2 linked regions of the Schizosaccharomyces pombe genome follow. The protein of the gene in region 1 interacts with the protein of each later gene in a pairwise test. Each region holds a gene or a part of one and is shown on either strand. Other genes may lie near its edges.

Region 1 (8,648 bases):
GACCTACAAGACGAGCATAAGAGGGTTGAGATATTCTCTTTCCCAACGAATACCATTTACTTTTCATTTTTCCATCATTCCATCTTTTTACAAAGCGTCGCCAGAGGTCGTGTACAGAATCTTGATCACAAGTACCCAAATCGATCTGCTTCTCTTCCTTAACATATTCTTTAAATATTTCATTGAACATTTCTTTCTGAGTAATGTCTTTATAATTGATTTTCCCCTGCATATTCAATAAATATTTCGAACAAAATTGTACATGATTTTCTTGTAATTTTTCAAGTTCCTCAAACAAGTTAAACAAACGCGGAAATAAATAAAATTAAATTCAATAATACTTTACGTCGATCGGAGGTTCATATATTATGACTCTGGGTACAACATTTCAGATAGTGAAAAGCTCATGAGCTTGAAGTCGTACAAGGAAGAGTATGCCTAAAGTCAAATAGGAGTAAGCTTAATTAAATCAATAAATACAATGCCAAACTGTCATAAAATTTCTCAAAATAAGTTTGTCTGTTTAACAAGTTTAAAATTTGATATCACGATTTAAAAAAAATACTACATTAGTTGGTTTGCCTTACAATGTTTTGTTCACTAACTTATGTTATACCAACCATTAGCTATAATTGATTCAGCGAGAGAATAATTGCAAAATCATCTTCAGAAAGCGAAACTAAGAAACAAAAAAATTGTTTCTCTTTCAAAGATAACAGTCAAGGAAAAAGCAGCTACAAAAAATAAAAAATAAGAAAAAATCGTTGTTCAATTAAAATATGAAAACTGAAAGCATAGAGAGGAGAGGTCAAAGAGATGGGAGATATACCAGTAGTTAAAATAGAGCAAAGCAAAAACAGAGCGGCGTAGAAAATTAATCGCACACATAGTAAAGTCAAAGTACAGATAAACAGCAATATAAAAACTTTCGTTTCCACGTACTTTGTCGACTGATATAACCGATGAAATAAGATACGTGCATAAATTGTCTTCCTTTTTAGAAATTGGAGTTGGGGGTTACTTAGAAAATAAAATTCTCACATCCGTTTACTACTCTTTTAATTTTCTTGTCGGTTTTCATGAGAGGAATAAGTGGATTAAAGGAGGACATGCAAACTTTTAATGAGCATGAGCAGGAGAAGATGTTGCATGGGCTTGAGTCTCGGGTTTCTTAACAATGAGAGCGTCGAAGGCCTCACGCTCTTTCCTCTCCGCGATAACCTCAGCTAAAACAGGTCTGAGGTAATGGTAATCCTCCTCAGGCTTTGTCCATTCAGATTTTGGCAAAATTTTATTCTCAATGCTAAGTTGCATGGCACGGCGAATACGATAGACTCGATCGTAGGATTCCATCTTAGGCAAACGAGATAACGCCTTTTGAGTATCGTCATTCTCCTCCAACATCAAATCGTCGTATCGAAGACCATATTTACGGTATCCTGACAAATGCACATAGGCATTGGAGATGGGTAAAAGCAATTTCGTCAAAAATGGTGATTTTTGAATATACTTGGCAAGAGACACAGGTTTCATACTTAAACAATCACTTCAGCAAAAAAAAATTTCGTCACTACAAAATTTGCACTGAAATCAATAAAACTCTTAGTTTTGAATATTGGAAGAAGGTAAGATCTCATGGCCCTATAGTATGCCAATGAATCCTTCGGTCACCTGATGTTACCTGCACATAGAATCCTGAGCGGAATTAGAAAGTAATGAAAATCTGAATATCCTAGTATTCTCGGCTCATTTCTCTTAAGTTATTGTTTAACTCTAACGATTTTATAACCTAAACTAATTTAACGACGTGTCTAACATATATTCGGGAATGCACCATTGCTAGTATTCGTATGAACCAGAAGTTTGCTCAGGTTACATGTTCTCTTTCAGTACTAACCTATTGAAACGAATGAAATTTATCAAATAAAACTCGTTAGTATGAAAAATACTTAATTATATAGCTTTAATAGGAAAAAAAAAGTAAATTTATATTGGATCCCATTTGTGCGAATGCGCTAGCTCGAATATGTCGAGTTGCCAGAAAGGAGCTGAAAAACTTTAAACAAATGATAGCGACATAACCGCCTCTGGCAATATTAGTAACGAAATTTATTCCAAAATTGGATAAATTAATGAATGATTGGTTTGCAAAAGAATATATTCCATATTACTTTGCATCCACTTCTTTAAATAGTAACCAGATCAAGCCACCTTTCTTAAAGGATAAAAGTTGTGTTTCATAACATAATATGTGGCTAACACCAATATGCATAAATAGTAAATGAACATAGTAAAACGATTCAAACGCCATCCGCAAATTAACCCAACGAGGAACAAAATTGTGAAAGCAATGAGAAGCTTTGCATTTCGACGATTCCGGTGAAGAACGTTTTTCACCTGAATAACTTCTGTTGGATCGTTCTGAAGGGCTAAAGACTTACTAAAATGACTTTCAAGGCTCACTGGCTCATTTTGAATTTCGCGATTTTGACCATCCCCTGCTTTACCAGTATCTTTCTTTGCAGTGGACTTTAAAGTAGACACGGAAAAAGGTAAATTCTTCTCTATCACGTTATCACCTTTTAGAGATATGGAAGGGTTCAGGGAAAATTTACTTGGCTGATTAGACGTCGTATGAATAGAATCGTTTACTTTGTTGCCCACTTCTTGAGGAACCAGTTTCGATAAAGGAGAATTTTGAAGCTGAAGAGTAGGTTTAAGCATCGGTCGAACAGGACTAGATGTTGGAAGGGCGGCCATTTTTTTTTGAAGAAAAGTCATAGGGGATTCCTCCGGAGCTCTCTCACGAACAGACTGATTTCCCAAATGAGACGTTGCGTTGGTATTATTCAGAATTGAAATTGTCGCAAATTGCTGCAATTTATTCTGCCCACTAATTCCATCTTTTCTGTCACTCGATTCCTTTCCTATCCGATGCACAGAAGATGTACTTTCCTGACGCTTCTTGCGTGGTTTCAAAATTTCGCCAGTCAAATGAACTTCTGGAGGAGGACTTGGCTTTAAACATGAGATGCTAATCCATGTAAAACAAATGGTAACAAAGAAAAAGGCTGCATGTATTTGACGGAGTAAAAAATCACTTTCAAGATTGGTATCCGAGCTTAAGTTCAAAATTTCCGACTCATAACATGAAAGGAGATACAAGCAAGTTAAACGGATAATAAGATAAAGTGCCTGACATTGGATATACTGATCCCGCCCAAAAAGCTCCCAAGATGGATTGTCCATCATTTTGTACCAATACGGGTTCCAAAAGACAACGAAAAAACCAAGCCAATTAAAGTAAAAAATTTTGCTAGAGGATCCATCTAATAGGAAGTAAGAGATTGCTTTTAGAAATAAATTACGAATACCATCTGGTAATAAGCTTATTATCATAGAATGATACAAATGCCACACAATCGATTGCAAATAGAAAAACGAAAAACCAAATCCACGAAGTAACCAAAGAACAAAAGAAGCTTTTGGATAGTGATGGGGGACTTTTGCGTTTAGCTGTTCCTTTGACTTTTGCAGCCAATATCCTAAAACCTGATTTTTGGCTTCATAATCATTGGCATCAAGTTGGTCTTGAACGGAGTCATAGCATTCAGAGCAAACAATGGGAAATTTCTCTTCTATAGATTTTTTATACTCTGGTAATGCCTTCTCATAAGCCTGATAATCTGGATGTGATGAGTCTGGCAGATAATCAGCAAGCATCCGATTCACAATCAGTTGGTTCATTTGACATTTTTCACAAAAGGGGCTCTGAAAGGAAGAACTGCTTGGGAAATCCCGTATCGCGTAAAAAGGACCAACACCCTTGTCTTGAGTTGGGGTTGGAGGTCGATAATCCAGGATATCACCTTTCTCATCAATATGGTTGGTGGCTTCACAAATTGAGCAAGTCCAAGTAGACGTTCCGTCTCTAATTTTTTCCTTCTTCTTGTTGCAATAAAAACAAGTTACTGTTTTATCACCAAAAGTGGATTTCAATCCATCATCGGAATTTCCCAATCCAAGTGTAAACAATCGGCTAGATTCCATTTCCCATTATACCATTTAATGCAAAGTTCTCATAGAATCCTGTGTGTGCAAATTTAAAAAAAAAAAGGGAAACAACAAGTCAAACCAGCACACGTAAGAAGAAAACCAAACAACTGATATTCTGTGAGTTAACGGAAATAAAATGCATGTAAATATCTTTTATATCAAGGTACAAGGTGTAATGGTACAGAGGACCCCTTATACAGAATGACCTTTATCAAACACTTGTGCTGCTTGACAAAGTAAAAGAGAAGTACTAAATAACGAGTGAAGTAACAATTAGATACACTTGAATAGTATAAAAGTTTTCTTGAAATGTTGAGCAAGAAAACTCGAAGATTTCGACTATACAGTTTCCCCACGGTGCTCGTGGTGAGAATAGGGAAAAGGCCGACCGTCAGCAGGGTCCCAAGCCAATTCGTAGCGGGTTGTCAGAACAAAGTTCAAACAAATTGAGGATAAAAGGAGTTTTTGAAGAAATGAGCTGTTTAATTTTTTTTTGTTTGTATTTTCTTTTTCGAGCTTCCTAGAAAAAAAAAATTTGAACCATTGTACCAGAAGAACGATCAGTGTTTGTGGCTTATTTTTAGAGCCTTACTTATGATATGCTCTACGACGCATTGAAGTGGAATGCAATGAGAAATATCTTAATAAATTTTCTTTTTAATAAAACCAACCGCTCTTAATTTGTTAGGTGAAAGTCAACAAAAAATCTTTTTGGTATTTTATGCAAATAATTCGTTTAACAAAAAGTTTAATAGTTTTTAAGTTCGCTTAATTTTTAAGCTACAAAGGAACGAGTTTGAGAAGTTGTGTAGAAAAGTATTGACAAAATGTAGGCTGAGTGGATGTCTACAACAATGCCTACAAGCCATCGTTAAATGTCAAATGTATTGATGAAACAAGCCGCTTTTAAATGAAAGATTGCATTTGCATCTTAAGCTTGCGCCAACATTGACTGTTGCCCCATTGTAAAAAAAAAATTCAATAATGTCTGTCAATGGAAACGGTGTATGTCACTGACTCCAAAAGGTCATAATCATGAATTAAGCACGAAAACGAAAATTTCATACAAGTAGTTCATTTTTACTTTTCAATCCTTATTGCATGTTGAGAAAGGAAATCTAGTCTTGTAACTATAAGCAATAGACAGCATGATCATCTCTATTCTATTACAAGTTGATTAAAATTGATATGCTGCGCCATTAATTAACTTACGAGAGGCTCATCGCTACGATGAAATGGCTTAGACCATGATTATACAAAATATTATAGGGTAGAGACGATTAGGAAATTGGATGTCTTCGTAAACTTGAAATAGGACGAGTTGCGAAAGTTGATGTTTTACGTGGCTTGGGGAGCGTTGTTAGGAAAAGCATGATGAAGATGGCAAAATGGCTAAGCTAAGATAAACGATTTCATATTTAGTATTTAACAGGAAACAAAGCCCTTTGGAAAGAACCAAATTTTAATAATTTTTTTTTTTTACTTCATTTCATTACCTTTTATTTTTAAGTTGGACGCACTGTGGTTTTGAGATTCTGGATATTGGTATCCTTTTTCTTCTTTTCTACGATTCTCGAAGTTTTAAAAGTTTCAAAGTATTTTACCGACATTCGACAATATGTCGATATCTAATCAATCGGGTTTGGATATTTTGAGAGAAGTTGATGATGAAGGTCAGGAAAACTCTTTCTTGAGAAAGACTACAAGGAAAATCCAGCAGTTTTTTAAATCGGATCCGGGCTATCAATCTCGCAAAGCCGAGTACAACAGTCCTGCTAAGGCTACGGGCGATGTGAATATTAATGTTACGAGTCAGGATTGGTTATCCAAGTTGGATCGTAATCTATCCATCGAGAATTTAACAGGTAAAAGCTTGGGTATCGTAGTAGTGTCTGGGAGAAATAAAGGTCTCATAAAGAATCCGTTTTTAGGGGGGTTAGTGGATATTGTTATGCGTCGACAGGATAAACTATATCTCAAAAGTGTTGAGCAAGTGTCTTCTGAATATTCACCGATGCAGGAACAGGTGTACGAGTTCAAAGTAGATATGCCTTTGGTGCAGAAACGATTAGGGGCTTTTTTAAAGAAGAATCGAGTAGATGGATTAAGCCTTTCGATGCATTTTTCTACCGGCAACTATAGCTTGCCAGTATTAATTCGACATGTTTTACTATACGATTATTACACTGACGACATGAAGGACTCCCTATGGAGAGCAATGATCATCTACGTGTCCCGGCAGGTCACTTCCAATAAGTACACGAAATTTCATCTTTGGTGCGTACAAAAGCGGATTGGCAATATTAGAATGTACTTGGTACGACCGGGAGACGTTTATTCATTCCAAGGACAAACTAGTTGGGCCGCCATTTGCAACAAAAGTTACATGTGCAATATCCAGTTGGAGCAGAGTCCTGAAGTTAGTGTTAAAAGTTCTTTACCAAAATATAGCAATGAACCAATTTTCCAAAGCAAAACGATAAGTCAAGAAGAAGTTGGATGGTTGTTGTTTATGCTCTCTATAGGTAATCACGCACGTGCGTTTCCCATTCAAAATTATCTAGCCAATACTGTGATGGAAACAGTATTGCCTGTTGAACTGAGATGCCCTTTCCTTTCTAGATCGGTTGACTGTGAAATTTTTCAAAAGAACACCAAGCGTCGAGTAATGGAAAAATGGCGTCAAGAATTCAAAAAGGACCTTAATGTGTGCGAAGAATTGGAATTCAAAAATGTTAAAAAGAGTGGTTATATGCAGCCTCTTTTTGATCTTACCATGCCTCTAGGTTGCTTCGATAGCTTGGAAACAAAAGAAATGTTTTACTTACGGCATAACATTGCTGGATTCCAGGCAGATCTTACCCCATACCCCATGAGGATTTAATACATACTACATATTCACAAGTGCATTCTCTTAAGAAATTCGGTTTATTGAAAAAAAATTAAAAATTAAAAGATTAGTGCAGTCTTAACACGAATTTCCTTTTTATTAATGAAAATGATGAGATTAAGTCATGCACGAGGCAATTTAAAATATTTTGTTACTGTGCTTTTTTGTTTCTTTTGTTTTTCTGTTTTCCATTACTTACGACAACTTTAAATTTCTCATTTTTGCATACTTCTGTTTTCTTCTCTTACGATTTTGTATTTATATTCATCATCTCTTTTTTTCTGTTATTTTGTTGCATTTTCATATTTCATTTCGGATAATGGCCGCTTATAATTCATTATTATTATTATACTGTTTTCCTTTTTCGCTAGCTTTATCTTTAAAAATCTATATTTCGTTAAACAGTTTAGACGCTGTGAAAATAAACGGTTTACCTAAGTCTTAATATATGTATAAGTAAGCTCGATATGTATAGCGTCAGTAAACAAGCACCTGTTGTTTTAGACAGAAAGATCATAATCATTTATAGCAGCAGTAGAAAGTACGAAATTCAGTTTAAGGCAAAATTTTCCTAATTGCAAATATTGGAGGGATTTTAAAGCATACTAATTATCGCTTTAATTCTTTCCTTTTTGACATTCAACGAAATATCTGCAAATGAGACGCTCAGTTAATGAAACCAATGACTTTCAACTTGGGAACTGATTCATTCCTATTGCAAAATGTTGAAAACTTCTTTCCTGAACCGCGAAAATCTCTTAAACTAAATCGCATTCTATCTATTCGCTTTTCAGCGTCTTGAATGAAAAATAGAGCAGAAAACAAGCCTTCAGCACAAGAGAGAGCATGAAAGTCGTAACGAGTAAACGACTGTTAGGAATGACAGCAATACTGGACTACTCTATGATACACCATGTTGCGTATTTCTATATGTCACAAGCTCTACATTGTATTATAGATACCCGTTGATAAAAACTATTAGTAAGATTGTAAATAGAGCTTCTACTGAACCTCGTTTCACAGTTCAGTTATGAGCTATATCGGTGACCGATACTAACAGACTTCTTATAACAATAAATATAATATTGTTAGTTAACATACCGCTTACCGCTATGTTGTAAGTCGCTAGAAATCTCGCCGCAGTTCTATATATCGTTAAATTAGTTCCAAACTGCATGGACAACAAATAGTGAACACCAAAATACCACTTAACTACTCATTATCTTACACTGTAAGGTAAACAATATAATGGCAAATCATTTCTCGACACGGTAAAAAAGACTTCTTTTTAGATGTGTGGGTTTATTAAGCATTATTACCTTTTGAAAATGCAATAATGTTAATTGAATCAATGGCAATCATGGGAAGACATTGCTTCCATCGGACTAATTATAGTTAGCCAAAGAAATTTTCAATAGAATTGGAATTAAGATTTTTTTTATAAGTTAGCAGGCTCTTCTAGTTCCATCCCTAGCCAGGAATCAAACGCATTGATTAATTTCTTTGAACTAACAGCGGCTTTGAACACAATGTATCAAGCTACGCTAATAGCAAGCTTAAACGTAGAACCGTATTCAACTTTGAGAACTCAGTGTCAAATTTCCTAATTTCTCTTCTTTTCTGATCCATAGTGCATATTTGATTTTAAAAGAAAATTCCTACAGCGTTTTTGAGGGATTATTAAATTTACTCAAGGATGCAA
Region 2 (7,151 bases), on another chromosome or scaffold:
GTTCTAAAAGAATAAACCGAAAAAAAACAAACTTGGGAATGCTAAAGAGACTCGAAATGTAAATTAGCAAAAAGTTTGCAAAGGATATATAAAATCGCTCACATTGTTCCTTTATAGCAACTGAAGGTAGAGCGGGTAAATAATGCATGTAATACCAACCATAGAAATAGAAATACGTGACCAAAAGAGTAAAACCAACGGGGAAAAATGAAATGGGAATGATGAAAACGAAAAAAAAAAGTAAAATCTTTTCAGAGACAAACTCTTCTGAGTCTAGATATGTTGTTTAATGGTTCTTCTTAGCAGAGTTAGCGATGTATTCTCTATCATCATCACCTTCAACTTCATTACGAATAGCCTCGTACTCCATCAATTCGACACGAAGAACATCCTCGTTTTGGCGAAGATCTTTGTCAAACCATGCCTCATCGGGGGCCCGGAAAGAGTTGCCGAGGCGATCAAAGAGGGTGGTGAATTGGCCGTAATTGTAGTTGAAATAAATGTGATGGCCATTATGGTGAGCAGCACCATTGATGATGGGGTTGTTGGAGATGTATTTACCATCGTGAATCATGATGGACCAGAAGTTGACAAAGGTGAAAAGAGCCAAGTAGGTCAACTTGTGAAGGGGAAAGAAAAAGGGGAAAAGATGGTAAGGAAGAGATTGTAAGAAGCCATCAGCGGATTTGAAAGCATGGGATGCATATGGAGTGCAGATAATCCACTTATGATGGAGTTTGTGAAGACGAGGGTATACATAACGGTGATGAAGGAAACGATGAGCCCAGTAAATGCCAAAATCTGAGAACATGACAAAAAGAGGTAAGGAACATAAGAAGTATTTTAAACCGTAATCACTGATGTTGTCGTATAAGTAGCTGTACCCATGCAACTCAGCCAAAAACCACGGAACCGTCAATAACGCCATACCAGGTAAGTTTTGTAAAGCCGTTAGAACTTCCATGAACACCTGGTTTTTTAAGAACTTTGGGTGATCCATCAGACTTTTATCAAACACAAATTGGTAGGAAAGCGACGCAAATGTTAAATACAAGAACATACCGCCAAACCAAGTTAAAAAAAACAAACTGATCGACTGTCTAACGATATTGTCGCGAGCTAATGGATATACAGCATTGTATATCGAATCCAGCGCATATTGGTCAGCATAGTTGAGTAGGTAGTCCATTGAGGTGTTTGCTTAAAATCTATTGACCGGTGGTAGCGTATAAGAAGTACCAAAAAATGGTCTGATTTTGATTGCGATATCTAGTTGGCTGCTATTAATTAGTCAATAGGAAACCGAGTTATCTTTTTCGTTAAAGTTTTTATCAAAAAACAAAGAGGTGGCTTATACACTTCGGTTAGTGAGAGGTAGATAGGGCAGATCGGAAAGGACATCACTGTGGCGGGAAGAATCTCTTACACTTACTATGTGGGGGAATAGTACTACGGGGGCTCGCTATTCAACAAGTACAACGAGGTTGGACATGAATGTTTGATATCGAGCAAGTGGGTATATATTAGTCGAAAATAATCAACTTTACGATACAAGATCTAATCTTAAAACTATTATAAGTAAATGAGATGAAAAATTAAATAAGAAAGATAAAAAATTGAAAAAAGAAGGTTAACATTCCTCCATCTCGGGTTTGTTCTCAAAGGCTTAGAGGTTACGCTAGATTGCTATTCTTAGACTTGGACTAATTTGGTACCCCCATTTTGTTCTTTTTAATCCACTTGCATTTGTAAGTCTAGGAACGATAATGGTATTTCTCAAGAGTATGCAATATGTTGCTGATGTTTTAAGACGATAAATACGCAGTTAGAACATAGTCGTTTAAAAAAAAAAAAAAATAAATAAAGTAAAATAATAAAATTATTTAAAAACAAAAATTTTGGACAAGCCAGAACTCGAATCTGGGACCTCTTCCATGCTAAGGAAGCGTGATAACCATCTACACCACATGCCCATGTTGAAATACTCGCATATAATATAGTATATAATTTACATACTTTACATTTTCATTATATCTTAAATACAACACTTTTAAAATGGAAATAGCGATTATTCAGAAATCATAATGTTGCTCGCGCATAAAGTAAACATACAAATAGTAGCTTGTAGCCCAATTTTTTTTTTAAAAAAAAAAAAAAAAAAAAAAAAAAAAAAACTAATGAGATAAAACATTTATTACTTAGTTTTAAGAAATAACAAGAAAAGCTCGAATGGCTTGGCAAACCAGGAAACGCCTGCGAATTCCTGAAATTTTCGTAATATTATTCGTGCCCTTGATTAGGGAAATCATTCATCTAACATTTTAGATAAACAAAAGACAGTGACTATTCGCCATCCCTAGTCTTTCACAAGCTCAATAGAAATCGACTTGTAAAGATAGAAAAGGAATCAATAGGCAGCAGTCAATCAGAAAACAAGTGTGGTATTTATTTACTTTTTTTTCTTTTCTTATTCTCTTCAGGCGTCATACTGTAGAAAAATCTGTAACGAAGAAGTATACATGTCCAATCAAAGCACTAATTAAATCAAGCAGTGGAAAGATCCCAGTTCGTAACCAGCGCAATAATACCATTACCCATGGAACATAAGGTGCTTTTACGTCGAAAAGACCTAGTATCGAGATTCTGTACAGTGGATGTTTCCACGACCATATGTATAACATGGTAAATGAAAAGTAAGAAGCTGCAAATGGCATGTAGGAAAAATAGGAGGTAACTAAAAGAGAAAACCATACTATCAATACCGTTTTTAAGAAGCTCTGTGTTTGAGGCGGCGGACTAGATCTTTCTAACATACTCATGAAACGAAGTAGAAACGACAAATATAAAATCAACTCTAATCCAAAAGGCCCAACATAAAGGAATGTAGTTATTGCCCTCCAGTACTAAATAAATCTTGTTAACAAGCTAGAATTAGGGAAATCACATGTTATGTCAAACATTACTTCAATCACAAACCGTACCTCCCCTTTTGCTAAAAACAGTTTCCAATTAAAAAATATCTTAAGATCGGATACATAACCAAAATTCTATATTTGTAAGCGATACCATTTATGAAAAATTTGAGTAAACATACCACTGCCAATGTTGTAAATAGGGTTCCAAGTACGATGTATCTGCATAAAAATTAGCGTGTACTCTCAATATTTCATTTCTTACCTCGTAACCGGAGGAGTTTGGCTTATAAATTCTGGCAAAATTGCCATTTTTTATATATTTTAGCCAGGATGTACTTTTCGTAGAAGTTGTACTCGGTTAACAATGTACTACGAACCTTCTTATAGTTATTAAGTAGTTCGATCTGTCGAGATTTCTATGTTAGGATCAATGCGATTTTAATGAATAAATAAATAAATAAAAACAATTAATATCAGCGATATACAAGAAATATAGATTAATATATTTAAAGATGTTAACATATTTACATCACCATCCTATTTAAACCAACATTGAAGACTCAAATGTAAGGTGGCTGAATAGAAAACAGCTAAACAAAGCTGTATATATCCTCAATTAACTTGGAATACGCACTATTTTCTAAGGCTTGTTGACGCATCTTGTCATATTTTTGAACACTTCGGTAGAAATCTAAAATAAAGTTAATACTTTGCAGATAAACAGTAAAAAATGTAAACAATGATAGGATTCCTTCATGTTCGTTAATAATACCTTCTAAAATCCTTCCTGAAATTAAACACCATAGTTCGTCTTTACTTTTCTTAGCTAGTTCTAAAGCGGAAATTGCCATTTTTTCAGCGTGTTCTAGTTTACCAAACCTCTCGGATAATTCCGTCAAGGAGATATATTGTAATTGGGTATTTGCATATTCAGAAGATTGCTGAATAACTCGTGGCAAAACGTTACTTTGATGCACTTGGGGACCTTCTCGAATAACTTTTAGGACTAACAACCATAGTTTAAATATTTTCTTTTCATGTTTGTTACATAACGGTTCAATCGACTCTAAGCATCTACTGGCGGCAGCACTGTCTTCTAAAATATTGATCAAATTGAGGGTAGATATGATAAATGTGTCTGTCCGAAAAGAAAAATTTTTAGCAGTTTCTCTGTAATGAACTTCAGCCTTTTTTAAATCTCCTCTTTTTTGCAGATACATCCCTTTCAAAATACCAAGAAAGCCAGTTTGATCATCTTCAGTAGACTGTAAAATCCTTTCGGCCTTAGATAAACGGGATCTGCTCAAGTATGTAGCAATAAGGTAATACTTCATGTCTTTCGTAATATTATTGATCCATTTCTGAGATTCTAAATACTCTAGCACACACCGTTCTTGATGTTTAAAGTCTCCGGTAATCCGCAGTCCTTCCTGAAGAAAACGGCTAGCTCTCCCTGATGTGCTATCCGAGATGTAACAAAATCCAGAAATCAGATATATTAACAAATATAGTTGATTTATACTCATCCATTTGATGGATATTTTGCTAGTATCATCAATGAAAAAATCAATATAGGAAGAAGGCCAAACGAATGTCTCTGATTCTAACTTAGAATGGATTTTGGGAAGTATTTCTCGAGCGAGCAAAATCTCACCTTTACGCAAGCACTGTGCAATTTGAGTTACCAAACAAAGAATGGAAATTTGATCAGAGTCTGTAGAGATCTCATCCATTGGCAATGACTGATTCAATATCATTGCTAATAACTGAAGATGTTGGTGTTTATGATGATTTGCATAATTATGTATACTATTTGCAACTTGAGATACATTTTGAAATTCGAGTGTTGCTAGTAAGAATTCATAGACCCATCGATGAGGATTAGATTGATTGTTAGAGTGGTATATTTCTGCAACTTTTGCATATTCTTCTGCCTCCCGTACACACCTAGTTAAGAGAACCTTAGCAGCCTTTGGAGAAGTTCTACAAAAAACACGACTTAATAGCAATTGTAATGAAAACTTGTACTCAGTAAGGTTCTAATAATGTCAATAATGCACGTCTAAATATTTACCATACATGTTGTTCTGCAATGATTAGTGCTCGATTCAAAATTGCCTCTACATCTGCATATTCGACGGTATGGCTTAACAAAACTTCACATATGCGTTTTCGTGTCAGTAGTTCAACGCGAGGTTCCATTTTAGTATCCTAAAATTTAGCTTTGGACTTTTTAAAAAATATTACCATTAGAACAGAGTAAAGGCATTGCAATCCTGTAGATAGCAAACGTCCAAAAGAATCGCAAACACCACAATCTTGGAGAACCTTTTCAGCATTTTTAAAATAAGTTTCTGCCAAAGGCCATAAAAACAAATGCCTCGAAGTTACGAGGATTCTTGCATCGGTCTCGTTCAATCCAGTCATAACATGTTGGTAGTGAATTGTAATAGAGGTTTGATAAACAGTAATAATTGGGAAGTACGCAAGTGACTATTAACAATACCATTGACTTTAATCAATAAATTTAAAGTAATATTAGGACATATAAATTTTGGCTTTTTGTCTTACTAGATAGTTACAATCCGAAACAAACTCAAACTAAATATTTTACGAAATTCAATAAAAGAGGTTAACTTAATTTAAAATAATTAAAAATATATATATATATATATTATACGAAATGGTTTTTAATTGCTAAAATTATACCAAAAACCCGGTCCTTAGAAAACACAAAACAGCCATTTTTTTAAAAAAATTCACAAAACTATGCCAATAAATCAATATTTACCATACGTAATGCATCAACAGCCCAACTAGGATAATTGGACTTATCACCATGGTTCCATTCATGGAAAAAGTTTTTGACAAATGAAGGGAACTCGTCCTTTATAATGGACTCCCGCATATCTCGCATAAGTTGGAGCTGGAAATGGACATTATGAATTGTCATGAGGTTGGCACCGACGGTTTCCTTCGAGACTAAACTATTGAAATAAGCACGAGTAATTCCCCATCCACCTTCAAGTTCTGTTTTACAACAAGGGCAGGAACAACCTTCTTCAAGAGGTCCAATATCATTCCTAAACTTTTGGTTCCTTAAGTTTATTACACCTTTGCGTGTCAAAGCATTACCGAACCTAGCCGTTCTGGTAGGATAAACACAGTCAAACATGTCCATCCCAAGGGCGACGCATACTACCAAATCTTCTGCATATCCGACACCCATTAGATATCTTGGCTTGTTATCGGGAAGTATAGAAGTACAAGTATAAACTCTAAAATATTGTTAGATTAGAAAAAGGTAAAAAACCATCTTACGTCTCGCAGAAAGCGTGTTTTTCTTCACCACCAGATAATCCACCAACAGCAATCCCTGGAGTATTTCTTTTGACCATTTCACGACAACAAATTTCTCGAAGTCGTTTGTCCAAACCACCTTGAATAATACAAAACAAGTTTTGGGTTTCCGGGCGCTTATGCGCTTGTATACATCGGTCTAGCCAGCGAATTGAACGATACATAGCTTCTTCCATTCTCTTGCTTTCAGTCAGTGTATGAACAACATCGTCTAATTGCATCATAATGTCTGAGCCAATACTGTTTTGTAGAGAAATAGAATGCTCAGGCGTAAGGAGCATTGGAGTACCATCTCTTGGAGACAAAAACGTAACTCCATCCTCCGTGATAGTGGCTAGTTTAAGTAAAGATACCATCTGAAAACCACCACTATCCGTCAATATATTTTTGTTCCATGACTGAAAGCGATGCGCACCGCCCACAGTATCTAATACCTCTTGACCTGGCTTCAATCCCAAATGGTACGTGTTGTTAAGCATAATTTTGCAGCCTAAAGCATCCAATTGTTCAGGAAGTACACCCTTTAGTGAAGCCTCTAAATTACAATTTGTTAAAAGGTCTATAATCTTTTAAAAATCAAATAACTTACGTGTTCCAACTGGCATAAATACAGGGGATTCTACCAGTCCATGGGGAAGTTGGATATCAGTCACGCGAGCTCTTGTGGTAGAGCAACGAGCTACGACTTTGAATTGTAAAGCCGGGAATGAGGAAGCCATGCCAAATCTTGAATTGGCTACACTAGTATGCTGAGTAGTAAGTAGATGTTTGGAAAACTTATTAAGTTGCTATAGCAACCAATAGGTAAATAAATGTTAACTGTAAACAAACTAACGATTTAATGTTGAAAGTAGAAAATCAGAAATAGCAAGATAT

What was found. The genes of interacting proteins can lie anywhere in the genome.
Region 2: the proteins of ima1 (region 1) and SPOM_SPAC1687.17C interact in a protein complementation assay, tested with the Schizosaccharomyces pombe proteins (one large-scale study listed by BioGRID).

Annotation. Positions count from the first base shown.
Region 1 is NC_003421.2:1,886,423-1,895,070, forward strand, and holds ima1 (inner nuclear membrane protein Ima1), read right to left. Parts: upstream 4,443-8,648; 5' UTR 4,051-4,442; coding exon 2,203-4,050; 3' UTR 1,681-2,202; downstream 1-1,680. Other genes in the region: SPOM_SPCC297.06C (uncharacterized protein), read right to left, coding at 1-232; qcr7 (ubiquinol-cytochrome-c reductase complex subunit 6), read right to left, coding at 1,120-1,533; SPOM_SPCC737.04 (uncharacterized protein), read left to right, coding at 5,675-6,940; SPOM_SPCC737.05 (peroxin Pex28/29), read left to right, coding at 8,643-8,648. UniProt on the Schizosaccharomyces pombe protein: Inner nuclear membrane protein that specifically binds to heterochromatic regions and promotes the tethering of centromeric DNA to the SUN-KASH complex.
Region 2 is NC_003424.3:932,766-939,916, forward strand, and holds SPOM_SPAC1687.17C (Der1 family protein), read right to left. Parts: upstream 3,276-7,151; 5' UTR 3,225-3,275; coding exon 3,178-3,224; intron 3,135-3,177; coding exon 3,095-3,134; intron 3,048-3,094; coding exon 2,982-3,047; intron 2,915-2,981; exon of another isoform or gene 2,904-2,914; coding exon 2,484-2,903; 3' UTR 2,176-2,483; downstream 1-2,175. Other genes in the region: C-5 sterol desaturase Erg31, read right to left, coding at 287-1,189; cohesin loading factor Ssl3, read right to left, coding at 3,506-3,606, 3,688-4,954, 4,995-5,126, 5,163-5,342; qtr1 (queuine tRNA-ribosyltransferase), read right to left, coding at 5,683-6,193, 6,237-6,810, 6,865-6,994; centromere connector protein mis6, read right to left, coding at 7,106-7,151.